2 linked regions of the Oreochromis niloticus genome follow. The protein of the gene in region 1 binds, or shares a complex with, the protein of each later gene. Links are inferred from orthologs where the notes say so. Each region holds a gene or a part of one and is shown in the gene's direction. Other genes may lie near its edges. The genes, in order: polr1e and polr1f.

Evidence for each region.
Region 2: polr1e (region 1) and polr1f share a complex: the UniProt entries of both Homo sapiens proteins name them as parts of the RNA polymerase I (Pol I) complex. The link is inferred for Oreochromis niloticus from reciprocal best matches to the Homo sapiens genes POLR1E and POLR1F.

What each region holds. Positions count from the first base shown.
Region 1 is NC_031971.2:22,559,363-22,575,098, forward strand, and holds polr1e (DNA-directed RNA polymerase I subunit RPA49), read left to right. Parts: upstream 1-8,385; 5' UTR 8,386-8,451; coding exon 8,452-8,527; intron 8,528-8,760; coding exon 8,761-8,864; intron 8,865-8,946; coding exon 8,947-9,023; intron 9,024-9,103; coding exon 9,104-9,189; intron 9,190-9,305; coding exon 9,306-9,361; intron 9,362-9,463; coding exon 9,464-9,608; intron 9,609-9,701; coding exon 9,702-9,812; intron 9,813-9,985; coding exon 9,986-10,082; intron 10,083-10,169; coding exon 10,170-10,300; intron 10,301-10,391; coding exon 10,392-10,473; intron 10,474-12,730; coding exon 12,731-12,862; intron 12,863-13,051; coding exon 13,052-13,217; 3' UTR 13,218-13,361; downstream 13,362-15,736. Other genes in the region: zbtb5 (zinc finger and BTB domain-containing protein 5), read right to left, coding at 2,182-3,339, 4,915-5,775, 5,862-6,075, 8,094-8,125; fbxo10 (F-box only protein 10), read right to left, coding at 14,497-14,677, 15,719-15,736. UniProt on the Homo sapiens protein: Component of RNA polymerase I (Pol I), a DNA-dependent RNA polymerase which synthesizes ribosomal RNA precursors using the four ribonucleoside triphosphates as substrates.
Region 2 is NC_031985.2:23,845,680-23,861,580, forward strand, and holds polr1f (DNA-directed RNA polymerase I subunit RPA43), read left to right. Parts: upstream 1-9,818; 5' UTR 9,819-9,849; coding exon 9,850-10,151; intron 10,152-11,418; coding exon 11,419-11,560; intron 11,561-11,800; coding exon 11,801-12,009; intron 12,010-12,906; coding exon 12,907-13,417; 3' UTR 13,418-14,090; downstream 14,091-15,901. Other genes in the region: tmem196 (transmembrane protein 196), read left to right, coding at 297-461, 2,638-2,694, 4,324-4,459, 5,443-5,561, 5,641-5,712. UniProt on the Homo sapiens protein: Component of RNA polymerase I (Pol I), a DNA-dependent RNA polymerase which synthesizes ribosomal RNA precursors using the four ribonucleoside triphosphates as substrates.

The sequences.
Region 1 (15,736 bases):
CAATACACCAATCATTAAAGTATACAAAAAGCAAACATGTTAATTAATGTATTTTTTTTCCCCATTCCAGTTCACTAAAACAGAACTCTACAACACAGCATGAACACGGTTTCAAAAAACATACTGCCATCCAGAGAGGCTGTTTTTCAACCTGCAGGATGTCTGCTAGAAAACCTTCATGTGATATTATTTTTGTAAATCCTGTCTATACTTTTATTTAAGCTTACACAAATCCTCAGTTGTAACATAGTTGACTTGTAACTTACAGCATTCCCCAACATTTATCAAGTTACATTAAAATACAGCTACATAAAACACAAAATTTCTTGTAATTAACAAAAAAATAAAAACATTAAAATCTTTTTTTTTAAAAATTACTTTCTCCATGTGAAATATTCCTTTAGTGATGTTACATTTTTCTAGACTAGTGGAACTTTGTTTTCATTTCCAGCACAACAGAATAAGAAAGGAAGAAGGAAGATCATAAGAGCTGGGTGAGCCGGATGGTTGGATTACAATGAAGATGTCGTCACATAGTTCAACATTCCAGTAAACATTATTAGCTGTAAAAAAAGACTGATTTGTCTCAGTGTTTTTGTATCAGGCGCAACATTATATGTAAAGAGACACGTATAAAGCACTCATATCAAGTACAGTAGCAAACATACACACAATGTTTACATCTTTAGGAGTTGTTTTGTCTCCTCTCCAAAGGACTTACCAGAAATGTGCAATACAGTATTTACATGTCGAAATATTTTTTTTCCCCCAACACATGCTGAACTCGTCACTGAAACTTCGCCGTTCTTTCAATAAACACACAACACCGAGAAGCTACGGCTGAAAGTCACGTAGTGCCATATTTTTACAATCACAATAAACTGTTTTATGAATTTGGACAGAAAAATACGTTTGTTTTTTTTAAACCTTTCTCCTGATTGCCGTAATAATTTTACGTCAGTAAACAATGAAACTTCACTCTACGGTAAACAGTTGTGGTGGAAGGGTAATCAGGGTAATTCAGAATTTTCCCCCTACAAGTATAAATGTTTTAAAGTGAGGCTGTTACTCTTGCAGACATATGTCACATGAAGGCCTCCATGAGTACATTTTGAATTATTTGGCCTTTTACCAAAAACATTTTCAACATTAAAATGAGCCCAGCAACAACGTCAGTGACAGACTGAAAATCAACCATAGACGACGATCATGTCACGTTAATTTGACTTGAATTAGTCACTGCTCGATTCCTCATGATGACTATTAATTAACAAAGTACTGATGACATTTCACCGCATGACAGAATACAAACACTGTTACAACACTACATACTCTGTCGCCTTCTCTGCTGGTTGAACTGTTAAAATGCTACAGATTTCAGCATTACCCAGGTCTCTCCCACACACTGGATTATCTCTGCCTTTTTTTGCTTGCATCTAATAAACCATTAGATTTTAGCACTTACACGCATAATGGCGACCAACGTGGATGAATGTGAATGGATGTGACGGGCCGTGCACAGAACAAGGCACAGTCAATAATGTCAGCTGCTACATGTTTTTACAATTATGCACTGAATATGAATTTAAATACAATATTTTACATGATGTCAGTCTTTAGTGCTGATGTTGCACAGCTGCCTCTGAGTGTTGCAATGACTGAATCGAATTTACTTCCAAGTGTACCACTAACAATGAATCGGCACTAAAGGATCACCTCAAATGGTGAAGACACTCATCTTGAAGTTTCATAATGGGAGTTCACTAACCAAAGGGTGATGTCACAGCAGCTACGTCCATCTTTTACGCTGTGTTATGCTCACAAAATTGTTAAAAGGTGTTTTTTCCTTTTAAATTTTTCACTTATTGGCCATTATCAATGCCAAATGGTAAATAGCCAGTATTGGCTGATATATCGGCCTACATCCCTATAATCTTTCTATAGGGTTAATTTTTTAACAGAAACTTTATCAACTGGTCTTGGAGAAGATAATGTTACATATTCATATTAAGTTACCTTTTCATCCCCATCTTTGGTCTGTGATCAGGATCAGTTAGTTTAGACAGAGCGGATAACAAAACTGGCCGTTCAGTCAGAGCTTCAGAAACATTTTTATAACAGCTTTGTGACTTTAAAGGCAGCTACACTGATTCCTAGTGTTTTAATCTCCACACTCTGCTCCTACAGCAGGGCATTGGACATGTTACTGTTCTGCCAGCGCAGACAGGTGGTCTTGGAATGCTTGTATAGGTGTGAAGACTGGCTGAAGCGTTTTCCACACTTCAGACATGCGTAGGGTTTCTCTCCCGTGTGGACACGGATGTGTTTCTTGCAGTCAGTCAGGGTGAGGAATGTTTTGCAGCAGATTTTGCAGGCATATTTTCGTGCTCCTTCAACCACTAGGACATTGTGCTCTGAGAGAGCCTTTTTGCACTTGGACAGAACGTCTGCTGAGGCCCGGGTGAGCTGAGGGGGGAGGGAGGTGGGCCTGTTGCCACTCATCTCATACCCTCCGTTCTCATTGAGGAGCAGGGGACCCGGTAGACTTGATGAAGAGGAGGCAGCATCCTGAAGAATCCCCCCTACTGCCTCTTCTCCTCCCATGCCAGTGGTCATTTTTGGAGCAATGCGTCTGTAGCCTGGATAACTCAGACCTGTGCCGCTGACTCCTCCTGTCTCTCTTGAGGGCCGTCCCAGTGAATGAAGCCCCAAACTTGAGCGCTGGAATTCCAAATCAAAAGGATCCACTCCTCCACGTCCTCCTCTTGAATTTCCCCCATTTCCTCTGGGGTTTCCTAAACCATCATGCAGGGGGCGGAGGAACAGAGAATCGGCTTGCAGATTATCTCCAAAACTGCTTCTACTCTCACCACTGAGTGGGCCTGATTGCAAAAGAGAGGAAGAAGCAGAGCCAGAAGTGCCAGCAGCTTCCTGCCTCAGCAGAAAGCGATGTGCTACTGCATCCCCAGTTGTTGTGTTCGGAAGGTCGTCCTCTCCGGCAACCATCCCTGAGCTGCCAGTCGCAAAATCCTTTTGGCTGAGGAAGCTGGAAATGCTGAACCCAGGTTTGCCACTCAGTCCAAAACCACCTCCGTTCGCGCCTCCTCCTCCTATACTGCTCTTGAGGATGAGCTGGGAGCTGGGCTGGAGAAGAGAGTCGGAGCTGGGCTGGGGTTCAGAAGTGAAGCTGCGGTCGCTGCTCTCTGGGCTCAGCTCCACCTTCTCTTCGTCCTCCTGGCACCCAGGCTCAGGAGGATCACTGCCTTCGGCCTGCGATGTGACGTCGCTAATTTCATCAGCTGGCTCGGGAGAACTTAGCGGCTCACGTTTAACAACCACCTAAGAAAAGCAAGAAAAGGAAAGAAATGTTTCATCTAAGGCCAAGGGAGATAAGACCTCAAATTTTAATGTAAGAATTAATATTCACAACACTGCCTAAAGGTCTCACAGTTGGACAGAATTTTATTGTGGGGACACTTCTCACAGAAACCTCAGAGCCAGCTCCCGAATGGGTAACATCAGATGCTGTAAAATAATCTCTTGAACAAGCCTGCTTTGCCTTACCAAGACGTTGTATTTTTTCTAGCATTTCATTTCGAAATAAAGAGTTAACATCCAACCATTTCCCCATTCTTCTGTCACAGTGCGATGCTACTTTGTTGACGTGTGTCGTCTTAGCAGCTGTAACAGTAATTTGCAGGTCCAGGGTGGCGTATTAAGCCATGGTGATAAATTCCTCTATATAAGTTGTAAAACGAATAAAACCTCTAAAGTTAATCATAAATACTTTTTTCTAACTCTAACCTATAATTGGAAATACTTAGTGGAAAATTAACAAGTTAACTTTTGCAAGAAATGGCTTCTTCGCCATTACTGCTACTGCTGCAGAGTGTGTGTGTGTGTGTGTGTGTGTGTGTGTGTGTGTGCGTGTGGGTGGGTGGTATCGACAATAGTATGGAGCTTCGAGTAGTGTTCTGATGATTGGTATCAGTAGTGTGGAATTCTAGTACCGTGACAACCTTACAATTGACACTTGATATAGATATTCAAAACTTGGAATTATTGTTATAATCTGTCCTTATTTGACTTATTTAATCATTCCATACTGTTAAATGACAATTTGGGGTTATTTAAAATCTATACTGGACAGTCTTTTCAGGCTAAAGTAGGTACTCTGCAGTGCTGTGGTACAGTTTACAGTAATGAAGTGCAGGATGGGTGTTCACGATCACTGTTAGGACTGGTTATGACAGCTAGAAACTCGATGGCCGAGTTGTCCCTCCTGTTTATACTTCTTTGAAGTCTGCTTGAACTCTTCTGCCTGGGGTGTGTGTGTAGTTCATGGACTGTAATGTCAATTATCTGCACATTAGTTAACGAGGCCACAAAAACGCTGGTCAAATTTATGTCTGTTGGATCCAAGTAGATGCGGAAAATGTAATCAAGGCTTCAGGGTAATAGTCATTAGTTTGAATTTAAGTTGATGACATTCTTTACTACCCTTCACCTGCCAATCTCCACCTTTAGACATTACACCGCCCAAAGGTTGGAGAGTGGCCACGACAGCTCATGTAACATCTGTTAATATCTCGTAAATTGCAGCAAGCAAAACCCACAAAGACCAGTGAACCTCAGAGCCAGCACAGGTCAGCTGTCACAGTCCATCCGCAAGGAAATCAAATCCTCAGAACAGAAATTATGTGTGACTCTTTTCTAAGTGAGTCATTTTCCCCTGCTGCATTGCTACACCCGATCTTATGACTTCCCTCTTCTGTCCAATCCCTTAACCCCTGGTTGCATTAATGACATTCAAACCAACAATTTCTGTTAAGTTTGTTTACTTCATACAGACAAGCCTGAGAGGTCTGGAGAGTTTTATCTATGGAAATATTCCTGCCCACTGAAGAGACAAATCTGTAGCTTTACCTTCTGCTCCTCTTCTTCGTTCTCCTCCTCCTCTGTTCCTGATTTTATTTTCACCCCTGCTCTGCTGTCCTGCTGATCCTGGTCATCCATGTCCTCTTCTTTGTTTACTCCTTGAATTCTCCCCAAGTTCTCCTCCTCGCAGCGTCCACTATCTGACTGACTCGGCATCTGAGGGTCATCTTGGGAAGCAGCTGCTAACCCAGTGATCGCAGGGTCAAGTTTAGATTCGTCCCCCATCTTGTGGGAATCTGGGGAGAGAAGTGCTCCATCCTCCCGCTCTGCGTTCACCCCTTCTTCTCCTAACAACCCGAGGTTAGGCGCCGAAGGACGCTGTCTCTGTCTGGGTCTCTCCTCTGAAAGCCCCAACGCCAGAGAGGGCTTTCGTTTGTGGAAGCGTCGGATTGGGAAGGAGGCCCTCTGGTCAACCACCCTACTGCCAACTACATTTCCCGCCCGGTCGTCTTCCATCCCACCCAAAGCAGAGCTCACCAAGCTGAGCCCCAGCTGCTGCAGTAAGAAGGAGCGCTGCAGCTTTGAAGTGGCAGCATTTGCTGCAAGGTTAGCATTAGCTGCTAATGTCGGGTTCACTGCTAAATCAGCTACTTGCTGATGCTGCTGCTGTCTGTGCCTCTGCTGCTCCTGCTGTGGGTGGTGATGGGCAGCTCTGTCGGATGAGGGGGACATGGGCAGCGTGCGTGTTGTCAGGTAGTGTTTGCAAGCCTTGACCACATTGTTGAGGTGCAGATGCGAAGCTGCGAGGAGAACATCCATGACATTGCTCTCCCCGAGCATCAGTGTCGACGTGTACATCATGTCCACGAGAGCGGCAAAGGCCTCGGCCGTCACCACCTGCAGAACGCACACAGTGGTTTCAATCACCATTAGAATGACTAAAAACACTTTTTTCGCTTTTTTGACAGCGTTTTCTTTCTAACCTCGCTGTCCAGCTGGATCATGTTCATGCTAGCATCTCCCTCTGCGACAGTGAACAGCGCTCTGAAGTGGGTGCTGCAGGCCGCCAGCACGGAGCGGTGGGCTTTAAAGTGTCGGCTGCCTACCACGATGACACAGTCGCAAAGCTGGCCATGGACACGCTGATAGTTCAGCTGCTGGAAGATCTGCTCAAAATGGCCTGGGAAATCCATGGCCCTGCAGACAGAGGAGCAGAGGGTAGGTGAGTTATGCAGAACCACAGTCAGTTAGCAAAGATCAGGTGATCTACTGATGTCACTGCATCTGACCAATCAGCAGCGACCTGGAGCTTTTCAAACTTCACTGTTCTTCCACAAATTGGGAAATTCAGTTTACTGCCCCTACGTACTCTTACCCTTATCATCATAATGCCCAAACCAATAGTTCTAAGTTAATTGCTGTATTACAAGAAACAGACTGTATGTAGTTGCCAACTTGACCCCATTCAGTAGCACACTGACTGCAGCTTGCTTGCTTGACAATCCATTATGCATTAAAAAAAGAATAAAAAACTTAAGTAAGATGAAGTTATCTTACTGGATAAAACAATTGGGGACAAAGTGATAAATCACAATATGTGTCACTTCAACACTTGTCACACTTCAAAATGTTAAAAAAAAAAAGTTTATTTATCGAAGTAAGACAGGAGAGGATGGAGAGAGGTTAGATTTTAAAAGGTAAGGACTGCTCCGTGACATTTAACCGACTGGGAAGTTAAAGCTGAAACATAACATCCTCATTCATTTTAGACACTTGTGAACTGATACCAGATCTATACCTGATGTGTCGCTTATGTTAAGTGTATACTAACTTTTTGCTATTCCAAGGTTGCATGAAAAGGCAGTGTATGGCAGGGTAAACCAGTTAATCTGCGGTACTGTGGAGAAGTTTACAGATGTGGCGTTTATGGTCACTGTAACAAGGAAACATGTCAATTTAAAGTTATACTAAGGAGATTAATTCACTGAATTCCACCTTTATAGTGTGTAGGGGTGTCAGAAATCTGCCCTGACAGCCAACAAGAGCAGCAACTCAGGTCAGCTGATCCCAGCCCGAAAACAAAGAAAATTTCATTGTGCTTACAATAAAAATTACTTCCAAGTGATGCTGCACTACAAAACTAGAGATCTCACACCTACTCGAGTCAAACTTAAACCCACGATTATGCTCATTTGCATCAGTTTGCATCTGAATTTGGGCTGAATTAATGTTTGAACTCCCATAATATTGTTTTATTCTTATATTATTAATGAAGTTAAGTTAGCTTTGCACAAAACAGCTGATAGAAATGTCCTCCAAATAGCTCATTTTCACTGTATTTCGGAGTCTGAATGCAGCACTTCATTATTTTTGGAAACAAGTATGTGTATTTCTACATTTCTGAGTACCTGTGGATGCAGTCTACGATGTCTGAATGGTGATGGGGGAGAAGTTGGATCAGTTTTTGTATTTACTGGCTAACAGCCAGGATGCCGTGGTACTGTCATTTTATTTCGCTTACTGATTACTGTGCACCAAATGTTGCGTTTTCCACTGCCTTTGCCTTCTTGCTATAAAGTCATATATTGACGAACAGGTCTAACTTTATTGGACCCCATCGTCTTTACACACATTTAACGTCACAACTGCACTGGAACACAATAGCATGGGATGCGACTCGGTAAAATGGCACAAAAGAAGCAGTCTGCTGGTACTGTAAGTCAGAGCAGAGAGCCAGCAGTACTTTAGGTTACCTTGAAAAATCCGGAAAATGCAGGTATCGAGAGGGAGAACAGGGCCCCGATTAGCTAAAGTTAGCTGGCTGCAGCCCAGCAAATAGCCCGTTAGCTAGAGTAAAAGCAGCGGCATGCGGTCACCGAGACTGGCCCACAAAATGTCCCCTCAAGCCGAGCTGTGGATAGCTAACATTTCCGCTGCTACCTCTCGCGTCCCCCTGCGGTCGACTTCCTGACGGTTTGACCCCGAAGCGGCTCGTTTGGTTTTGGCCGTGGGAACGTAAAGCTGGCCGCGATGGACGGTGCCGCGGTGTCCGTTGATCTCCAGCGCCTGCCAGGCTGAGCACACAGCCACGGCGCCAGAATAACCGTTAGAATAATATTAATGCCTTCTATCAATTGGTAAGCGGTAGCGTCATGCTGTGTTGTGTTTTCTAATATTTCCCCCCGCCGACAGACGGTTTTTCCAACCAGACTCACGGGGCGGCGCTGTACCTCTTTTTCGCGTCCATGACCTCACCCGAGGTGAAAAGCTGCAGCTTTACGGTTTCACCACAAGGTGTCGCTGCTGCATCCCCACACACAACCAGTTAGCCAAAGATTATAAACAGCATCGAGATGGTAAATGCTTTGGCATTTTTATTTTTTTAAAGCCCGTATAAAGGATAATCCTATAATCCAGTGAACAAAGACATGGCAGAAGGAACAGTACAGGCAAAATAAAGAAATGCACCAGGTAAAGTATCCACAACAAAACTGGAGAAATTAGAGCAGCGGCTTGGCGAAGCGAACACGGAAGTACAGAGGAGTAAACTCTTGCCCTGCATGAAAACTCATCATGACAACAGTCATGGCCGCCTCCTGCTCGTTTGTGTGCTGCGGAGAGGAGAGAGAAGCCGATAAAGCTGTCGTCGGTGAGTATTCCTCATTTGTTTATTATGTAGAATTTTTCACGGGGATGATGATGATGACACATGACTCTGGGTTGGGCTTTGTAGAGTTTATATTTTTAAAGCATTTAGGTGCACACGTGGGCACTATACCGTGTTGTTGTGTCCGAGGCTCTCACGTGTGTCACTGTACAGTCACATCGGTCATTGAGGTTTGATCACGTATAATTCCCGGTGTTTCTGTCTCAATCCCACAGTCCGCTTTTCTAACGGCAGCGTCCAAAATGCAGACAAGCTGGATTTCAGCATGTTGAAGAACACGGAGGAAAGTAACCCCAGGAAAAAGACCAGGCGGATACTGGTGAGGAAGATGAGGAGTGTGTCTGCACTCTCCGGGCTGTGTTGGTATACTCTCAGTGTTCTTCCTGGTTTATTTTATTTAGGTTGCCGAGTCAGACAGACTGTCCTATGTGGGGCAGAACTTTGGAGTGGGGTCCATGAAGTGCAATAATCTTTGCAAGTAGGTCTTTGCTGCACATTTTGGCATGTTATGGTCACCGAGGAGGAGATTGATAAGGAGGATGTTTGGCATCTCTTTAGATATTATGTGGGCGTGCTGAACAAGCAGACCATGACGATGGAGGTGCACGAAGCTCAGCTGTTCAACATGCAACCAGTTATACCAGGTAAGAGAGCTATAACATATCTGTTGCTATTTTTAACTGCCCACAAAGACCAGAAGCTGTGGAAGGAATGCTTTGTGTGCCTTCTGAGAGTCGCTTTTTATGACTTTTGTCACCAGGAGAGACAACAGACAGTGCAAAACCCCAGGACACTACTCAGACCTACAGAGAAAAGGTGCATTTGCTGCTGCTGTCTGTCCATTAAAAGACATCTGTGCTTAATTATGTGTAATGTGATGTGAATATCCTGTTATTACCTTTAATGTTTCCCTTTCAGGTTGACTTATTGATTGAGGCCTTTGGTACCAACAAGCAGAAGAGAGCTCTGAGCTCTCGCAGGCTGAATCAGGTGGGCAGTGAAACCCTTCAGCAAGCAGTGGCAAAGGCTGCCAACACTGTGATTGGCGAGAAGGGTCTGGAAGGTAAGCTGCACAGTGGATGCCTCTCTTCGGAGAAATCCGAAAGAATGTTTCTCTTTCCATGTTTTTTTTTCTTAACCTTCCCTCTCTGCACAGCTTTGCAGCAAGAAGTGGCTGACGCAGAGTCGCAAGGAGACCTGGCTCTGCACCTTCCCCCCTGCAATGCAAACGCAGACAAACGAGAGGACGTCTATCCATTTGATGAGCGTATCTTTTATTCCTGTGCTGGAGGAGGAATGTGTTTATGGAAATAGGAAGGCAAGGAATCCATTTGAATCCCAGATTACAAGATGGGGTACTAGCGTATGCATGTGTTTGCAGGTTTTTATCTAGAGCTGTACCAGACTTTGTTCAGGTGACCCTTAACCGAATATCTGCAGTCTTGAGCCCAGTGGAGTTTGGTGCTTTGGAGCAGGGTGGTGCCAAAATGGCAGCACTCACCCCCGAAGAGCTGAAGAAGATGAAAGATGATGGAAGGTAGGGGCAACAAAACCTTCAGAGACATTTTATTAATGTGTTCTTGCACTTGAGGTTGATCTTGTGCTTTTTATCTTTAACCTAAAGGTGCCTGAGTATTGTGAAGCATCTAGAGAATCTGCCAACTGAAAGTGAAAGCCGAGACAAAACAGCACGCTGTGCTTTCTACCTCTCTCTGCTCCTCAAACTGGCTCGGGAGAGGAACATCACCCGCAAGTGTGAGTGAATTTTGTTAGTATTATGATGTGGAAAGTGGTATACAAACTTTCACCATTAGAGGGTTGTAGTAATTCATGTTTGCATGTACAGTTGGGCAAGAGGAAGGCTGCCCTCGCATCATCCAGGGCAAACTCTTTAAAACGTTCACCGTGGAGACCTTCAACAATGGCAGGTATGGTGGTTAAACACATGTAGCTAATGAAGAAAAATGTTTCTGGAATTTGATTTTGTTTCACTAAATTAATAATTTCATTAGTAATTCAAAAATTTACCAAATGCTAAACCGAGACAGGGAAGCTAAATAATATATACAGTTCTAAGAAGTTTACATACACTCATCATGAGCATGAATGTCGTGGTAATTTTGGGCTTTTAATTGTGTGAGGCATTCACACTATTGAGATCCTGTTTCTCTTTAAACTTTATTCCTCTACCTTATTCTAGTTGCTCCGACCTTTGCTGGTTAATTACTCCCTCAGTTTTCATCTGATTTTCACCATTCAAATTTCCAACTGTTCTGCTCTTTCTGCTAATGCCAGCTATATCTTTTGGTGCTCATAACTTTTATACTTTTTGAGATATTAAGCTTTTTATGCCATTTTTTGGCCCATTTTGCTGAATGGGACCACATTATCAGTGTGATCACCAGTTTTGCTTGCCGGGCTGAGCCATGTTTTGGCTCAGTGAGATGAGCAGCCGTTCTCAGACCAGGAGGGCCGGGTCAAATCCCGCTTATGGCAGCATTTTATTCAGTAAACAGTTCAACTGTTTTAACTCTTTTCAAAACAGTTTTCAGTGTCTTCACCTCTTCAGCACAAATTTCATTTTTTTCATCTCTTTTTTGCTGAACATTCAGCTTCTTCGCCTCTTTTCAGCAGAAAGTTCAGCTTCTTCACCTCTTTTAAGCACAAATTTCAGTTTCTTCACCTCTTTTCAGCACAAAGTTCAGCTTCTTCTGCACAGTGCACATTGTTTTTCTCATTATATCTCTGATTGGCACTAGAACTGGTTTAGCTCAGTGGGATGAGCAGCTGCTATGAGATCCGGTGGCGAAGGTTCAAATCCTACCTGTGGCGGTTGCCACACATGTTCCCCCGCTTGCATGCACTCAGCTTTCTTGACACTCTTCACTGTACCCTTTCAAATTCAGCAAGCACTTCAGCTTCTACAACTCTTTTCAGCAGATAGTTCTGCTTCTTCTGCTGTTTTCAGCAGATTCCACTACACGCCATTCACACTGCATTTTCCCAGGAAATGCAACTTTTTCCAGTTACTTCTTTTAACTGTTCTTTTCTCAGCGTGGAATGATTGTACAGCATACACCTAGATACACTCACTTAAATAATTTAGTAAGTGTTGTTAAAGGTTCTACAATGTATTTTAACAAAGTTAAGGCCTATTAGCTTCTCGATAGTGGTCATGATTGACTACATCTTTTAGTTTCTCTTTGCAGCATAAGAAGGGTTTGTTTGATAGCACCAACTGGATTGAATAATACTCAGAATAATACAAAAGTCCAAGAAACTAATTGAAGATCTAAGAAAGAGAACTGTAGTTTCTTGGACACCCTCGAAAGAACTACAGATTCCAACATCATCAGTTTAAACAGCTGATATGTCATCACTTTTCCAAAAATGTCACCCTCATAGGAGAGAAGGTGGGCTAGGACAGTCAGGAACAACCCAGAAACCACCATGGCTTAAGCCTGCCATGAACTGGAAACCGCTGGAACACCAGCATCACTGTCCACAGTGAAGCACCTTTTTCATTGCCATGGACTGAGAGGGTGCCAACCAACAAAGAAGCCCCAAACACACATTAAAACTGGTTTTAGAATGAATAAAGCAGGCTAACATTAAGCCTCTGGAATTGCCTTTCAAAAAAACAAAAAAACCCCCAACTCACCCTGTTTAAATTTGTTCAGTGTGCTTTAAAGCCAGGCAACTAACAAAGTTAAATGAACTTTACCAATTCTACCAAAAAGAGTGGTCAAATATTCAGCCAGAATTACACCAGAAGCTTCTTGAGGGCTGCCAAAAAAAATCTCATATTAGTACAACTTACTAAGGGACATTAACCAAATATTAGTGGGGATGTGTGTGTGTGTGTGTATGTATTTGAATCTGTATGCATACATTTGACCTATGTGGATTTCAGAAAATCCCAAATAAATTTAAACTTGTGCACCTAATTTTTGTTTAACTATAAGTTATTAAAGGTGCATGCTTTACTATCATTTCACTCTGGAAAACAGTTCAAATAAATAATGAAAAAAAAAAAAAAAAAAAAAAAAAAATCGCCAAATTATTTATGGCAGACATTCATGGCCATGATGAGCTTATGTAAACATCTGACCACAACAGTGTATTTGTTGCTGCACTGATTCTTTTCAAAAGATGCACTTTCTTTACTTTAACTTTTCTGTTTAGAATCCAGAACATGGTGTCATCGTCAATGCGGGTCAAACTAGCAGCATACTGCTTAGCTCTGCTGCTGCATATGGGTAACATGACAGCTGACCTCACATTACTGCATCGTGACCTGGGAATCACTGAGGCAAGGTAAGCAGGGGAATAAAAAGGAAGCCTTTAAAAATTATTTCTTACATTTCATACATTGTTTAAATAAAGAGTAAAATCATTAATGAAGTCAATAATGTGGACTTAACCACACATACTACTATCCTCCTTCTTTACTCTGTAGTTTTTGTTTAAACTGTAAACTATTGTGATTCTTGTGCTCTCCTATAGGATGACTGAAGTCGCAAAGTCAATGAGACTGACCTTGGTGAAACCAGCCCGAGGCAAGGGTGATAACATTGAACTACAAGATGACAGCAGACTGGCCGCCCTCGTTCTGCCTCTGATCAAATACGATCACTTCACTGAGAGACGGAAACGCAAAAAGATGCACTGAGGACGCAAAGGAGAACCGAGAACTGGACAGAAAGAAATGAATATCAAACAAATGGCTGCATTAAACAAGGCTTGTTTATTAATGCTTTTGTAGACAAATAAAGTGAACTTCAAGTCGAACGTGACAAGCTTACATTTAAAGATAAAAAAAAAAAGACTAAAGAGCTGTAAACAAATTCTAGATGACAGAACATCTAGCAGGAACGTATAGGCACGTTTGTAGACATCACATATTGCACACTACATATCTTCCCCTTCTGAGTGTGTGGACAGGATATCTTGATAACGGACTTCCTCTTCTGTCTGCTGGTCTCTTTTTTTTGGCTTTTTTTTTTTTTTTTTTTTTTTTTTTACAAATGCAGACAAATTAAATAAGCTGTTAAAAAAGCTAAACTGTCATCAGACAATAGTGGATGGTTGTGAGATTATATTTCGGCAAATGCAAACCATCAAATGTGATTGGTTGGTCGAACTTAAGTGCAGGTGGACTACAAATGGAACTATAAAGCTTAGACTACCAACAGTTTTTTTTTTTTTTGCATAATCATATGCAGATATCTGTTTAGTTTTCTCTGCAGCATGTTGACAGGATCTGAAATAATGAGATGTCTCAAAAAGCGAAGTGCATTAAGTTTTAAAAACCACAAAGGACATTACGCAAGAAGAGACCCGCCAACAGACAGGACAGAGACAGAATCTTAGTTTTGGCTTAGTTGCATAAACGCCCTCACGCTATGAAAACACCTTCCCTCGCTACAGCCATCCCTTAAATAGTCAACCAAGGCACAGCTTTACTTTGACCCACTGTCAAAGCCAGCATTTCTGAAGCCTTTGACTCCTGCTAGGATTTAGAAATGTGCACTTCCTAACCAGCGAGTCCCTATAAGCAAAAATAAGACTACCAAACAAGTCTGCAGTAAATGAGCTAATGATAAACTAGGCAAAGCTCTAGTCTCAAACAGATTCCAAAGGTGTATGAATGTCTTGTACTCCAGCTTCGGTTTTCAATAGCCCACGTTTTATGAGCACAGTAGCATTTTAATCATAGAAGTACAAAAGTCTAATTTCAGATTTTCAAAGTCTTCTTCCATCTTAATAAAAATGGGGGTGGATGGCTCCTTTAATGTTTCAGTTGCGGTCTCCAGCTACTTGGACAATTAACCGAACCCTTATTTTGACAGTCAGTGCCCCACGTGTATGGTTTACAGCAGTTAAGGAGCAACCAGATGCTGACCTCCTGACCCTGGCTATCATATTGGTTTGTAAGTTCTTGCCAGTATTCACAGAATGCTGCAAAACATGCTGCCGCTGTGGCAACCACTTTCCACAGTTGCGCCGATCCTGGTGGTCACGGAAATTCCAAGTCCAGAGGGATACTGGGATGAAGAGAGACCTGCAGGGGAGCTGGCCAGTGGGCGAGGAGGAGGGTTTTCCATAACCCAGGGGGGAACAGATGTACAGCTATGAAATGAAGAGAGGAAAAAGGGTAAGCAACAATTAGGAGATGCCCTTTAAGATTATTTTTCACCCCACCCCTATTTGTTTTTTAAACCATTTTCATCTTCACCAGCTCCTGAGGGAAATAACTTTTAAGCTGCAAATCATGCCACTAGCTAGCTGTCACTGACTGATTGTTATACAATTCTGAGCAAATGGCACACAGTGAATTTTTAGAGCTTTTTCTTCTCATAAAAACTGCTTCATTCAAAAACGTTGCTATTAGAGTAAACTGTAGCAGTACACGTATGGGTCCAGCCCAGCAAAGCAAATGAATAGAGAGGGAATGTGATTACAAAAAACAAGCACTGCTTTCCACTGAGGTAATAAAACCAGTAAAAAAACAACAACAAAAAACTAGTGTGGTGTGTTTACCAACACGGTAAAGAACCAAGGACTAAGAACTTCTAAGGAGCCAAACGCAGAACTCAAGTTAATAAGATGAGGCAGCAGCAACTGATTCAAGCGGTATCCTGATATTTAGATGCCCTTCCTTAGTACTTCACCAAGTACGCCATCTTCTAACCTCTGAGGTTGGGCCCTAGGTCTTGAACTGGGGGATCATTTCACATGTAAGGAAAATGTGATCACTACACAGCGGAGCCACTGCTTTCCTACTAAAAGCAATGACCTCAAAAAGTTCTTTAAGTTAACCTGCAGATCTGAGTAATTTTTTTACTCAGATCACTTACTATTTATTACAGACACTGCGCAGACAGCAGAAGCGATAGAAAGTGACAACACTAATTCCACTGATGGTCTACTGCAGGGGTCTCCAACTCCAGGCCTCGAGGGCCGGTGTCCTGCAGGTTTTAGATGTGTCCTTGATCCAACACAGCTGATTCAAATGGCTAAATTACCTCCTCAACTTGTGTTGAAGTTCTCCAGAGGCTGGTAATGAACTAATCATATCTAAAACCTGCAGGACACCGGCCCTCGAGGCCTGGAGTTGGAGATCCCTGGTCTACTGAATGTCTGCCAGTTTTTAATGGGCCGACTGATTACCTGTCATCATGCCTTAGA
Region 2 (15,901 bases), on another chromosome or scaffold:
CGTTTAAGTACCCTGGACAGCGCCGTGCGTTACGCACAGAGGAACTTCAGCCGAACGCTCCTTTACCACAATAATCTCCAACCAGAGAGCCAACGCTTTCCCTACCTCCATGTTTAAATAGTTTGTTAGCCGCTTCTGTAAGTTCGCTCCTCTTCTCTTTGCGCTTGGATACACTTTTTTCGCCTCTTCCAGCCGGATATGAAGCAGTAGAGCAGTGCCGCCCTCGGAGCATTGAGAAGCGGACTCCCGCCTCAGCGCCTCCCTCCTGCTGGAGCTGGAGAGATGCCCGGGGCAGGATGTGCTCCAGCCGCAAGATTCTGTGGAGCCTGCTCCTGCTGTCCTTGGTGGAGGTGGGCCTGGGTGTGGCGAGCATCGTCCTGGGAGCGGTGGGCATCAGCTGGGTCCGGGGCGATCATAAACCGCAGCAGGGAGACGCTTCTCCGGTCTGGAGTGGACTCTGTGTACGTCTTTGGAACAAGTCTTGTCGCGACTTTTTGTCTTTGTCTCACATCCCCAGAGGATAAGTATCTCCAGGGATCGTGCTGAAAGATGAGACCGTTAAAACTCAAGGGAATTGCCTTCCTCTTTATAGAGCCTGCTAGAGACAGCATGTGCTGCATGTCTGTAAGCATTAGAATATCAAATAAGGGAAACATATTCTGGTCATATAAGGGCTAAAGTACTAGACTAGACCTTTAATATATTCATACACCATAAACTACAGCACCAAGGTAACACAGATATTTAAAATGTGCAGAAAAACAAAGAAAACTCTTAAAGATTTTTGTATTTTTCCCTCTAAAACTTCTCAAAAAACTAATTGACTCCAAATATTTTTGTCTTATTTAAGTTCCTATCAAATAAATCCATTCTGCTTACAGAAATTCTTTGTTTGAAAAAGTTGAGGCGTGGAATTTCTGTTCATATTTGTGGTTGTTTACTTTTCAAACTCTATACCCGGCGTGGTTTTGCTGACACAGCTTCATATGGTATTTGCCTATAAAAGCCTGGCAGACACACAGCCATTTGGCCTGGCACTAAAGATTGGCCTTATTAATTCCTGCTTGATTTACTGCTCATTGCTTGGAAGGGTCGGGGCTTTTAGACCCATCTACGTCCTTTCAGTCTATTGAATGTGTCTGCTCCTGTTTCTGCGCCGCTCTGAGCCTCACTGTCTCGATTTTGCCACAGAACAGTTAAAAAGTTTTGTTTCTGGCATCTTAAGCAGCCACATACCTTGAATCATCTACTTTACTGTGACAGTCGCTCCAGCGGGGGATATATAGTCTATCTGTCAGCAGTTATAGCTGAGAATTACTATAAATGCCAGGAGCTGAAGCACTATGAGTCATAAAGAGTCATATATAACATTATCATCGGTGTGAGACGGCTGCTTTGAAAGACTGCTTAAGTGTAAATATGTGGGTGTGCATCAGACGGAAAGGAGAAAAAAAGCATTTACTGATATATCACAGTATATAGGTTCCATATCTGGGCGTGAGTGCACTTAAAGTGCGCATGATTCCAGCAGTGTAGATGAAGTTCCTGCAAAGATGTTATGCAATGGGTCGTCTGCGAGTTCAACCACACAGCTGTTGAGCTCTGTCTGCTGAGTCAGCCACCCAGCTGTCCAAGAGTTTCAGTCTTCTTTCGGGACCTGGGAATTATGGTAACCCACTGACCGGTGACTTTAGAGGACACTGACTCTCCAACCTTTAGTGTCTTATTGTGTTGAAACAGTGTGCATTAATAATTTATCATTTCTGCAACTTTGGATTAAGTTTCAGAACAGTGGAGCAGTTTGGGGTTGTTGTTTTTTTGCAATGAACAGCAAACCTGAATCGTGAGACTTTTTGTAAAACAGAAGAATTGTCTGTTTAAAAGATTTCCAGTTTTGAAAGCAGGCAGAGCCCTAAAATGATCAAATCTAATCTAAAATGATATATTCTAATCTATCTACTGTCTAATTACCTGATTAGGAGAATAGGGCAGTATAGTTATAAGATTGTAAGAATGTTTTTACAGTGAAACAAGAAACTAAACCAGAATTTTAAACTGGCAAATATTATCCTAGAAAGTACATATTAGGCAGCTTAATGACCTAAATTTCACATGAAGATTTGTGTGTATGTGTGTGTGTGCGTCAGCTCAACAACTTGATCCATAGGTAGGAGACTTTATAAAGAGCTGAAAGCTCTTGAGGGACTCTAATAAGTGCACCTGGCTCTTAGAAATATTTATCCATCCATTTTCTTCTCCTTATCCAATTATCTAAGGTTAGGGTGGGGCTGGAGTTTATCCCAGCTGCCATAGGGCGAGAGGCGAGGTAAACCCTGGACGCGAGGCTAACACGGAGAGGCTGTCTAGAAACATTTATATATTAAATAATAATAAGCAGACAGTGTAAATTATCCTGAAATAAAAAATAAGAGGGCATATCTCCTTTTTCCACCAACATCCTTCTGGAAATGTTATTTTTAGAGGGAGAATCTCAATGACTGTTATTTTCAGCATTTCCCATTGTTGCATCAGGGACGGGTGCCATAAAAAAGAAACATCTAAAAATTTCTCATGACAAACTAACTTGAACTCACAGAGGTGTTAATTTACTAACTTGTTGACTTTCTTTGTTTCCAGTTTCTGGTCTGCGGGATGTGCGGAGTGCTGTGTGCTCGAAAGAGGACTGGCCTTATTGTAAGTACATACATACTGAATGAGCTCGGTTTATTTCTCCAAGTAATTTCCTTTTTTTAATGCCTGTTAGTCTGTAGTGTACAAACAACAGGAGCCCTATGTGAATGCAGTGAAATGATATGATGCATGGGTGGGGTACCAAAATCCGACTTTAAACACACTCCAGGTCATTAGTTAGTGATTCACTTTTAGGCAGTTTGTACTGAGCTATTTCCAGGATGGTACCAGTTTCTAGGAATTAGGCAGAGACACCAGGAAATAGTTCGAGAAGGCCTGCAGCCTTTGCTAGAGGTAGAAGGTGGATTTTGGTTTTTTTAGCTTTGAACCGAGCCAGGTTGTTTTCTTGTTTCTACCTTTTATGCTGAGCTCAGTCCAGCTAACTGTCATGTGCCTGGGAGCCTTTTTCATTACGTATTTGCTGGAATTATGATGCAGATGTCTTCTGTTGTGGATATCAGATGCAAAGTCAACTGTATCAGGAATACTGAACGCAAAGCATACACAAGGTCTGCATATTCGACAATGAAAGAACTCCCAAAGGTGTGTGTGTGTGTGTTGCAGCAGGTGCAGTCAGTGTGCTCTGAGAGAGACATCTGAGGAAATAAGAGGAGACAAGCAGTCACCTCTCTTCTCTTTCTGTCGCTCTTTCTGTCTTTTTTACAGTCTCTCAGTGTCTCCCAGTCCTGGTGTTTCTCTCTGACTCCCTGTCTCCTGCAGGGAGGAGACTAATGATGGATCAATGTCAGCACAATCTGCTGTAACAGAGACATCACTCAACCTTTCTTTCCCTCCATCTCACCCTGTCCAACTTTTGTCTCCCTGTCTATCTCCTCCTACTCATGCTTTCCCTTTTTTTCATCACTATATCTATCCATCTGCCTCTTCCATTCACTCTGTCCCCGCCGTCATCTTCCTCCAGCGCCCTCCCCATGTCTGCCTGTGGGGTGATGATTACATTAGGTTGGTTTGGCTCCGGACCCCTGCCAGCCACTTTCCACACTTCCCTGGGTAACGACTGAAATAGGAGATGCCCTTTTCCATGTGGTTAAAGGCACTACCGGCATCTGCACAGGGGGCGGTGAACGAGGGCTTGCACTCCAGATGGAATACAAACACATTCACAATTAGTGGGAAGTATATGAATCATCTGGATTTTATTATCTTGATAAGAAGATGATGGAAGTCTAACCATTTTCTCATCAGATTTTACCCCGAAACAAATAAATAAAAAGATGAAAAAATCAGATTCTGAAACTGGGATTTAGTTTTCCCGGTTCTGATCACAATTTCCGGAGAAGTAATCCGTAAAATGCGATTCATTAAACACACAAATCAGACACAAACACACAAATACAGCAAGTGAGTGATGCAAGCATATTTACAAGCCGCACATCGCTCCTGGAACAGACAGTCGGCTTTGAGAGTGATCCAATTTTCTAATGGCGAATGAGATTTATTTTGACTGATAGGCATTACTCATCGCCGCAGCCTCGTTCCAAAACAGCAGAATGATGGAGATGGAAGCTCAGTAGTAATTTGTATATCTCCGGTCTCATTGCATTTTGTCACTTGGTTTACAGATTTGTTGATAAGGTCTCAATTTTGCAGCTTACCCCCCTTGTCTTTCAGATGATCCTCTTTTCAGCGTGCTGCATCTGTGGGCTCATTGCCGGGATCTTAAACGTCCAGTTTGTTCGGGCACTGAACAAACGGCCGGACAAGATGCAAACAATCCACCTGGCTGCAATGACTCTGGCTTGTCTAGGTAAAAATAATAACAAGGATGCAAGACGTAACACAATCTGATGTGACACAATTGAAAACAATTCATGTCTTTGTCTATTTTTCATTGTAAGACCAGAATGTTATTAGTCTCTGTTCAAGTATTTGAAAGGGACTAAATGTGGGGGTAAAGATAAAGCATCTCTTTATTAGTCACCTGTCAATACTAACAGTATACCAAGCATTTCTTATTACTGCTAATCACATTTATCTCAGCTCTATCTCAACAACTCTCCAGTGCTCCAACACCCTACCCAAACAAGCTTTGTCAGTTTTATTCAGATAAGAAGTGCCTCTCTATTTCTTTTCTGAAGGTCTGCCGGTATACTAGTCGCTCCATGAGGTTGTGCTTGGAGCTAAATGTTGATACCAATGTTAATATGGATATTTAGTAGGTACGTAACAGTTTTAGCATGCAAACCACATTAGGGACATAATATTTGCTAGTTAGCGATACATCAAAGTCATTTTAGCTTAGAGAAAATGTCAGGGATTAAATGCCCTAAAAGTCTCTGAATGGGGCCATAATTTCAAAAGTAATCAACCAGCAATTGAGTCCATAAGCCCATTAGGAGAGAATTTACCGAGGACATAAATCAAGAGTGAGGTAGTTTAATTTTCTCATAGATATTATTATAATGTAGGGACCAGACCCCCCACACACACACACTCACAATTCGAATTGGACAAGTGGAAGAAAATGGATGGCTTGATAACTAAATAACTGAAATCAAACGAGGCATTGCAACGTTGGCTTCACTTGTACCCGAAGGCTACATCCATCTTTTATGCAGTCCATATACAGACTTTGGCTGAGACATAGAACTTCATAAGTGAAACTCTTTCCATACTAGCACTAAAAAATAGAAATCAGACGATCATCCAGCACAGTATGTTTTATCCTCTGGGGACTGAGTCTTTTTCTGTGCACTTCTGTGTAAAATTTCCTTTTCCTGTCTTATCCAGGGATCTCGACCTGTACCTTATCCACGTGGCTGACTTGTCGCCTGGCAAGCTCGGAGCAGCAAAGGATGTTCTTGGAGAGGGAACACTCGCTACATCATTCCCATGAGATGACAGAGAAGGTAGTAAACTGCATGATTCATCTTCAGCCGCTGTTGGAAGTGTTTGTTAAGCAGGTTTGTGTTTGTGTGTCTCTAACAGGAGGTCCTGGACAACTCCAGTAATGGTATTCCTCAGATCTCCTATAATGGACACACCGCGGCGTCTCCTTGAGGAAGTTTCAGCAGGAGATGATTTGCAGTCTTAAACAGGAGCAGTTACTAAAACTCATGCTGTCACGCAGCTAATGCAGCTTGTAGTAGACTGCGTTTAACTGTATCCTGACTGCAGGGACTGAACCAAATTTGTCGCCTTGGAACCCGTTTACCTGCTGACTGAGTGAAGCGGACGGCATGAAGGAGCCGTTTGTGCTTCTGAATATTATGCAAACATGGGTTCAAATACCTTCGGTTTAACTCACACCAAAGCCGGGATGGTGAGCTGCCGTTTGGATGACAAATGAGGTGACAGACATCTGCGTGAAATCCTCCAATTTGTGAGCGGGAAGGATACATTTCATCCAGTCAGATCAAAGTGATGAGCACAAACCAAGCATGCAGCTGATTCACTTGTTTAGAAGAGCTATTTCAGTCTCATCGTCCTTATTCTCTCCCTCTCTGTCATGTTATTGGTTTATGGAATCCAGATCTTGAGATAGCCTTTGGTAAACTGTATGTATCATCTGATAATGGAATGCTTTGAGAGAAAAAAATTACAGTAATGCACAATGTACTGTATGTATCCATGCTTGTAAATCAAACATATTTTTATAATGCTTCTTATAAAGTTCATTCAATTAAAGTACGACTAATAAAAGAATTGCACAGTCTTGCATTTTGTTTTACTGTTGCTCTGTTAAATACATGTTGAGATGAATCTGGTTTTATGATCGCTGTTTATGCAGACTAGCCTTTTTTTTACTTACATAGTTGCCAGTTTGTGTGTTTATAGTACATGAACATGCATGTTTGTGGAAGTGTGTTTGTGTTTGTGAAGTATGTGAGGTTTAAGTAAAATTGTGATGGGAATTACTTTTCAGTTCGTAAGCCAGATTTCAGCATTTTAATCAATACACTACATCATTGTAGGTGATAGTAACACCCAAAGGTTAAAATAACACACTGAAAAATCGCACTACGAAGAACCGTATTTAAATGACTCAGTCATATTAACGAAATCCAGGTGGGGTTTTTTTCAAAACACACATTAGAGAGCAACCATCTCACACCTTGTGGGCGGTCTGCAAGCTCGGGTCCTCTACCAGAACCTGGGAGCTTGAGGGTCCTGCGCAGTATCTTTGCTGTTTCTAGGACTGTGCTCTTCTGTACACAGATCTTGGGTGTTGTTCCTGGGATCTGCTGGAGCTACTCGCCCTGTTCAGGGAGTCACTGCACCGAGTAATCCGATTACCACTGGGATCACTGTTACTTTCACCCTCCACATCTTCTCGAGTTCCTCTCTCAGCCATTGGTACTTCTCGAGCTTCTCGTGATCCTTCTTCCTAATTCCTATCACTCGGTATACAGCCGTCTTGCTCTGCTTGTCCACCACTACTATGTCCGGTTGGTTAGCCATCACCAGTTTGTCTGTCTGTATCTGGAAGTCCCACAGGATCTTAGCTTGGTCATTCTCGACAACCCAGGGGGTGTGTCCCATTTTGATCTTGGGACTTCAAGGTGATACTCAGCACGGATGTTTCTGTATACTATGTTGGCCACTTGGTTATGGCGTTCCACGTATGCCATGCCTGTTAGCATCTTGCATCCTGCTGTTATGTGTTGGACTGTCTCAGGGGCATCTTTACACAGCCTACACCTGTGGTCTTGCCTGGTGTGGTAGACCCCAGCCTCTATCAATCCTGTGCTTAGAATTTCTCTATAACTGACAATGGCACATGCCGTGCAGGGGCCTGTCCTTCCATGATGGTTCCTCTTCTTGCTCCTCTTCTTTCTGGGAATACTGCTGCCTGAATGCCTGGATATTTATTTACTATCCTGGATAGTGTTTCTGAAACTCTGTGCTCTTCTGCCTCCTTCCTTCTGCTTAGAGTAAAGTCTCAGGGAGCTGGACTTGGGGTGAAACCAAAGCCATGATATTCTCTTCCAGGTCAGCTGTTCTTGCATTCAAAGTACCAGTTGTTTTGGGGGGCTTGATACCCAGAAAGTGTGGAGATGATGACATTCCTCTGACATAATGTCCCCTTATTTTTTGTGTTGTACCTAATCAGTCACTCATTGCAATAGCAGTTGCATCTTGTGGATGTTGGAGCACTGAAGTTCAAGTTTGATGTTTGTCTAGATGCTGGTTGTCAAAGAACCCATAGATCCCACATCCTCATGTAATCCCTGTGTAATACCATCCAGCAGTTATCTATTTTTGCTTGTCCACTCATGCCTTATACTTCTTCTTTTATTTTATGTGCCATTTTATTCACTGAGTCATTTACAAACTATGTACTTATGCATTATTTCCTCTACCACATTTGTCCCCAATATATTTCCTGTCTCTATTTTTTAATTTAACATTTTTAATTTCTTTATCCAGTATGGTTCTTTTATAACTAAGCTATTAAATAATGAAAAAATCAGTAAATAACAAGGGAAGTTATATAGGAAAATGCATAGCAGGAGAATTAATAGAGACTGAATTAAATACAAAGAAAATGATCAAAATGATCAAAATCCATGTTGATGGTTATAATGACAATAATATATTTGTTGGGTTGAATTTTAGATTTTGGCAGTTCCAGTCCTTCATAGCATCATCAATTCAGAAAGCCACTGCATTCTCATGAGACCACAGTTTAAGGCAATGATGATGCTGTTCAGGGTTCCCACACTTGTCGTAAAGTTAAGTGACAAAGTAAATCAGTTTCATAGCACCCGTCAGACCTGCAAGCTTAAAATGCTTCACAAAGGAGGAAGAGCAATAAAAACCTGTTTCCTCCACACAGATGCTTGCACACAGACACAGCTGTGACCTCTTATGAAGATAAGCTCTGACAACATCATTGCTGCTCAGCACCTCATTACAGTGTTCGCCAACTCCAGAGAGAAGCTCCAAACAGAGATGTGTGTGCATCTGTGTGCATTTATGCATGTTTGTGTGCTGACTGGGGCCCACAGCAGCAGAAGCCACAGGGAGCTAAGAAACCATGCACTATTTATCACCGTGACAACAGACAGGAAAGGGCCATGGCTCCTAACAGAGCACCGGGTCTGCGATTCCTGTGAGAGTGTGTGTGATAAAGAGAGAGAAACGCTGAATCATGTGACCTCCTGCGGTGCTGCCCTGTCAGAAAACAGTAACACTAGATACATCTGTGCATGTGTCAGGATATTTTCAGTGTATGCCTGTGTGTATGGCTGGACACGCTGCACTAGTTGCACTAATTGACACCTCAGGTCACCCTAATGATCTTAATGTGGCTCTGCGGGTGAGAATGGGATACAGAATCAATGATCACCTCCTACCACACGAGCTCCCTAACAGCATCCCTGCCAGGCCTATCAGGGCCGAACTTGTAGATTACATAACAAAGGGCATCAGGTAACTTACGTAAGCATCATAACAGCTACTTACAACAGCAAAGCCACATGGTGCTCGTTTTAATTTGCTAAAATTTTGTCTAAAGCTAAAAGTGATGCTGGCGAATGCCTGAGCCTACTTCTGCAGGAGGTTTCTTCCTGTTAAAGAGGAGTTCTTCCTTCCCACTGCCGCCAGGTGCTTGCTCAGATGAAACATATTTATCTGTGGCTGCAGTTACTTTGCAGGGCTAAATTTAATTTACAAATTTAAAATGTGAAAATGAAATAGCCACTCGGAATAAGTTCACCATGTTACACAGGACATTCATTATTTAAACTAACAGACAGTTTGGCCACATGCAATATTTAAATCCATCAACATGTTATGCCAGGAAACATTAAAGCATTACTGCACACAGACTATCCATGAACAGCCATTAAGTCTGCAGTCACTCATTTATCATCGTTAAACAGTGTAAAAGTGTTTTGATGATGATTCAGTCTGTGCTCTGCAGACAAAAGGGGCAGTAAGTTATACAATTCTTCATATTTTCTAATTATTTCAAGGTTTTTAGAATATTTCTGTGTCTAAAAAACTATTAAACACAATACTTTTTGACAATCATTACGTAAAGATAGTGAATGGGATCTAAAATAAACTATGAAATAAGCTTGCAGTATGAAGTTTGTGGGGTGCGCTTCTCTTCTTCACCAGCAGGGGGCAACAATAACAAATGCAAAGCGGAAGTCACCTCTTGTTTGTCTTCCGGTCTTTCTACGCAACATGGCGAATTTGGAGCATGGTGAAGACAACCCAAAACATGTGAGAATGTCCGGTGAAACTCCCGACGCGTCCGTCCCGGACCAGGCGGCCCAAGAGACCCCAGCACCGGTAAACACTGCTGCCGCCCTCCCGTTATCGATCCCGTCGTTCGCCGCTGCCTCCGAGCTGTTGTCAGCGCCGTACTCGTGTCTGGTCATGAACACCCACCGGAGACACATCGCCCTGCCGCCCGTGTATCTGAACAAGAAGAAGACGGGGATAAAGGAGGAGCTGGAGGCCGAGCTGCTCAAGTTCTCTCAAAGGTGCTTCTTTTTTTCCCCCGCCGACGATTTTATCCAGTCAATAAAGCATTTTCAGCCGGACAGTCCACTTTCCCACGTACGCAAACACGCACACGAGCTGGGATGTCTTCTAGCCGTCTCGTGTGTTGTAAAAGTTCATGAACCTAGTAGCTACGCATGAAACGCAGACTTTCAGCTTTAATTCAGGGACTTTAACAAAATCAGTGCATTGTTTGTCCGGAAAATACAGCCATAGACACATAATCTAACTCCGTTTAAATGTGTTTTTAAATCCCTTACAGTCAATGAGTGCCTAAAGTCTAAAAGTCATGAACATCACATCACCAACTGCGGTTTCTTCCTTTGAGAAGCTCTAGCAGGTCTTTACTGCAGCCAGCAGTTGCTGCTTATTTGTGGGCAATAACTGCATTCAATTGTTAGTTCAGTAACTGAAAACCTGCTGTATTTGGTAGAGATCAGGTAACTTGGCCATTGACGATTATCTCTGCTCTTTCCCTCGGGAAACCCTTGGGGATTTGCAGTGTGCTTCGGGTCATTGTCCATTTGCACTGTAAAGCACTGGCTGATTAGTTTTGCAGCATTTGTCTGAATCTGAGCAGAGACGATCCCCAGGTCGTCCTGCTGTCACATTATCTATAAACACCAGCGATGCAGCTCCACAGGCAGCCATGCATGCTCATGCTTTAATACTTCCTCCACCGGGTTGACAGATGATTTTGCTCTCTCTTATAGCTTTACTTTGGTTTCTCAGCCTGATGAAGATCATCTTTGTGTGCACTGATATCTCTTTGGGCCACATAATGATAATTCCAGGGAACAGCTACAAAATACAAGTTTAAAATTCTTTATTCTCCAGATCCTTTATCCTTTATCTGCTTAATTTATTGTTTAACAGAGAGAGCAGGCCTCTCCTGGCTAAAAACAGACACCTGTTACTCAGTGTTACTGAACTGTCCCGTTACTTGTGAGCCTCTGAAAATTGAGGATTAAACAGTTAATGTAGTTATTTTGTTAAACCCCTCCGAGTTAAAGTTTATAATCTGAACTTGAATCACATCTTAATGGTTTGTTTTAGAATCCACTGTGGTGCTCTGCAGAGGTAAAAGTACAAACAATGTGTGATTGTCTGCAAAATGTATTTTATGCATGAATCACTGAGCGTGGCCTCGGTGAGGCATTAAAACCAGTAATGGTAACGCAAAAAGGTTTTTCAGTTTAAATAAACTGTTAATGCACAAGATGACCTCGTTACTGTTGTGTCTTTCAGTCTGAACGGAGTCCCCTTAGCCTACGACGACATCAGGATAGTGAGACACCTCGGAGACATTTACGACGACAGCGGCTACATCCACGTGGACGTGGAAGCCAGCTTTATTGTTTTTCAGCCGCAAAAAGGACAAAAACTACGGGTGAGATTTACATTTACATTATTTAGTAGAAGCGGAGAAGCTGACGGGACTTTACCTGACATATAGTGTCTGTTAAACGAGACCTGCACTTTTCAGTGTTTACTATTGTTGTAATATTCAAACAAGTGACATATTAAAACCTGCTGCTCTGAGGCGTACCTGTATTTTGTGGGAGTGATAAAGTGCCTCTGATAAAATACAATAACTAACAGCGTGTATCACGTATTTGTCTGTTTGTAGGGTAAGGTAAATAAACTGGGAATAAGCCACGTAGGCTGCTTGGTGCACGGCTGCTTCAATGCCAGCATTCCCAGACCGAATCTGGTTTCTGTGGAAACATGGAGAGACGCGGGGCCGAGGATCGGATCAGAGGTGGAGTTTGATGTGACGGCGCTCGACGCCGACACTGCTGGGGTGCTGCTGATCAGAGGACGACTGGACAAGACCAGGCAAGTGTGCAGTATCAGTGATGGTGATTTTAGTAGCTTCGGGGCAAAACTAAAGGCCCCAGTGTACTCGTCACTTTGTGCACTGCCGGTAGCATCATCACACGAGTAGCCACTGCAGTATTCTCCTGAACGATAGGCGAGCAACTCAGACCTTCACATCAGCGCTGGTATGGGAGGAGAAAAAGTCAAAGCGACGTTAAACAGCACGATTGTACACTTGTGTCTTCAGCCCGGCTGAGCAATGTATGACTACATGTACTGAACAAGGCATTTAGTCAACAAAATCCAAATGTACAACAAAATTGTCTCTGAATCACATTTCATCTGGACTGTGGAGATAAAGAGAGTAACAACAATTCAAATTCTGAATCATCTACAAGATCAAAACAAGTTTAAAACTGAATCTAACGTTATAGGAAGAGAGCGCAGGCAGGATGGAGACGAGTGTTGGGGCTGATTTATGACAGAAGGAAAGAAGCAAGAGTGAAAAGGAAGGTTTATAAGATGACCTGCTCTGATGTATGGCTCTGAGATGGTGGCGCTGACGAAAAGAGAGGAGGCTGAGTTCGAAATGTTAAGATTTTCACTGGAAGTGCCCAGAATGGACAGGATTAGAAATGAGAAAATCAGAGGGACAGCTCCGGTTGAGCGGTACATGTGCAGAGGAGGGATGCTGGATATATGGGACAAAGGATGCTGAAGATGGAGCTGCCTGAGAGGAGGAAAACAGGAAGACCTCAGAGGAGGAGGATGCTAGAGATGCTATGCTCCCTTTAGGAGTTGCTACATCACTGAAGATGAAAATGAAGAAGTCTAACTTTATAGGTGAAACAGGTTTTAGATGTTCTGTGTGCATATCCCTCCTGTATTGATTGTTTTTGTCTTTGTGTGCCTCAGGGTGCAGGAGCTGCTGGCCATGTGTGAGGGCACAGAAACCAGTGTGCCTGCAGGCGAGGAGGGCACAGAAACCAGTGTGCCTGCAGGCGAGGAGGACCCAGAACCCACCCAGGATGCTTCTGAAGAAACCCCGAAGAAGAAAAAGAAAAAAAAGAAAGTCAAAGAAGAGGAGATAGAAGAGGAGATACCAACCATATCTGCATGCCAGCTGGACAACGGTGTAACACCAGAGCCGAATGGGATAAGGGATGAGGTAAACGGCAATGAAACCGGAGAGAACAAAAAGAAGAAGAAAAAGAAGAAGGAAAAACGTATAAAAGAAGAGGAGGAGGAGATGGATGTCTCTCACGTGGCGGTCCACGGGAGCGACTCCAGCGGTTACGTAAGTGACAAGCCAAGCAAGAAAAGGAAACGTGAATCGGGACACGATGTGACATCATCGTTTAGTGAAGATCCCGACCCGGTGAAACCAAAAAAAAAGAGAAAAGTCAAAATAGAGCAGCATGCCTAAAAAATGGTATCTTTACAAATTAAGTGAAACATTTGGAATAATCAAGGACATACTGAGTGTGTTAGTGATAGCGATGGCCCTGGAGGAATATTCTGACCTGTGCCTTAACCATGAAAGAGCCTGATTGTCATCCCAACGTTGGCTCCTTCTCGCCTTCATAAACAGAATGTCGGACATGCAAGAGAACATGGAAATGAGAGATCAGGAGCCGGCTTGACAAAGATTCCTCACTGGATTGTAGTTCCAGCCTTCGCCACATGGCGGAGCCAAACTGCTGCTTACAATCAGTCTGGCTGACAAAAATCCAGAGGCGAAAACTCACCAGCAGAGACGGTTTGATCATCTTTTGCTATGCTGCTGTTTTTATGTTTTCTCATGTTCAGCATTTAAGAAACAAAAGCCAAATGACTAATGCCGCCCAGCTCAGTTCAAGACTTTGGCTCGTGCTTCCATACAGTTCTTAAACAAATTGTTCTGAGTGTGACCGCAAAGCAAGGAGAGCACGTTTTACTTAAATCCACAGTAATTAGTGAAAGGTCTGGAAATAAATCAGGCACAGTGACAGTGAAGCTATGAAATATTACTTTTGTGTCACTCACTTTTGTCTTTTCATGGATTTTTCTTTGACCGAGAGCAGAAATTAGCTGACAATAAAAATTATATATTGTTCTCACCCTTTTAAAGAGTTCTTTATTTTGATATTTTGTCATGATGTCTACTTTTCAGTGACAATTTGACACACCTGTGCTTTGCAAACACACTCATGAACAGCGCTTCGATTCAGTGAGACATAAATTCCTGTATTTTTGCAGTTTGCAGTGGAAAATTTTGCAGCTAGCTCTTTTGCTTTGACCGGTGGGAGTCGAGTGATAAAAAGCTGAGAGATAAGACTAAAGAGCTAAGTGTTTTCTTTACTCCCCCCCCACACACACACACAGAGTGAGGGAGAGAAATCCCCCTGCTTTTCAGTGGGGAGTCTAATTAGCTGTTAGGTGCTAAGAGTTGGAGAGCTTATCGGAAGCTGCCTAAGAGGAGAGATAAGGGGATGCGATTAACTTGGCTCATCTTCATCAGTCACACCTGATCTTACTTTTCTGTCATCTGCATGAGCTGCACCATCTGTGTGTGCATCTTTTTTGGGTGGACAGATAGGAGAACACTGCAGAGAGCCATTCAATGCTGTTAGTCACCACACGATGGTTAAAAGAACTAAAAAAGAAAAAAGGGCTGCTTGTATCCAAAGCATGCAGTCTGAGAAGAAACAACAGCAAAACTTCATTGTGAAATTTTTTTTTAACTGTTTATCAATCATACACTAATAGCAAAACAAGAAAAACTTGCCAAATATTTCAATTTAAAAAAAACCCAAAATAAGCTTTTAAAGGTTCAGTTGTCTGTTACCAAATAAAATCAGCTTCAAGAACTTGGTCCAGGAATCCAGTTATAAACAGCTTTTTAACGCAACCTCAGACTTACTGGAATAAAATATGAGCACGTCAGTATTTATCAAGGGCTCTGTGGGGAAAACATTTACTCACATCTATTTCTGAAGCAATGGTCATCAGCCAGTTAGCTGATAACCCAATGTTTAACTTTAAGACTGGAAACACCTGTTCTGTCCAAAGCCAGGGTTCTCAAAGTGTGGGCCGTGAGCCGGTGGTGGGTCTCTAGGTCAAAACAAAGAAAAGGGGGCACTACCTGCACTGCCAAAATAAGACGAAGGGAGCGCTGTGCCTTTATTTGTCCATAGCAAACGAAACCTTCCTAACACTGAAATAATGTAACATCTGCAGTCATCTGAAAGGAAACTTTTTGCAGGGCTGTACAGTGCTGTGAAAAACTAAGTACATCCCACGATTAAACAGCTTACAGAACCACCTTTGGCAGCAATAACTTAAACTGCTTTCTGTATGACTTTGTCAGTCTGTGATATCGTGGAGGAATACACAGTGTTGCTTAATTTTATTGAGGTTTGCAGAGATGTTTTTAAGCACAGCTCTCTTAAGGTTGGAGGAGGAGAATCAAGGTGCTGCAATGACCCGGTCCTTCTGTTGTAGATTCACTGCTGTGCTTGGGAACATTGTCCTGTTGCATGAACCAGACTGGCTCGAGCTTTAGCTGTCGGACAGATGGTCTCGCATTAGACTCTAGAATGCTTAATTTTATTAACTATTCTTGTTAATAATACTTAATAAACAGAAGAGTTTGCAATTGACTCAATAACTGTCCACGTCCTGTCACTGCAAAACAAGCCCAAATCAACACGTCTCCACCTCCGTGCCTGATAGCTGATACTGTATTCGGCGTTTGGTGTTCACCAAATGTGGCGCTGTGCATTATTGGCCAAACATCTCCAAATGGAGATCTCTCAAAATCTAAGTTTTGTTGTAGGGTCTGGACTTTTACCTTGATTCTTTTCTTTTTCAGCCATTGCTGTACTTTTAATCATCGTCCTGTTGCTTTACTAGTCAGACAGATGGTCTC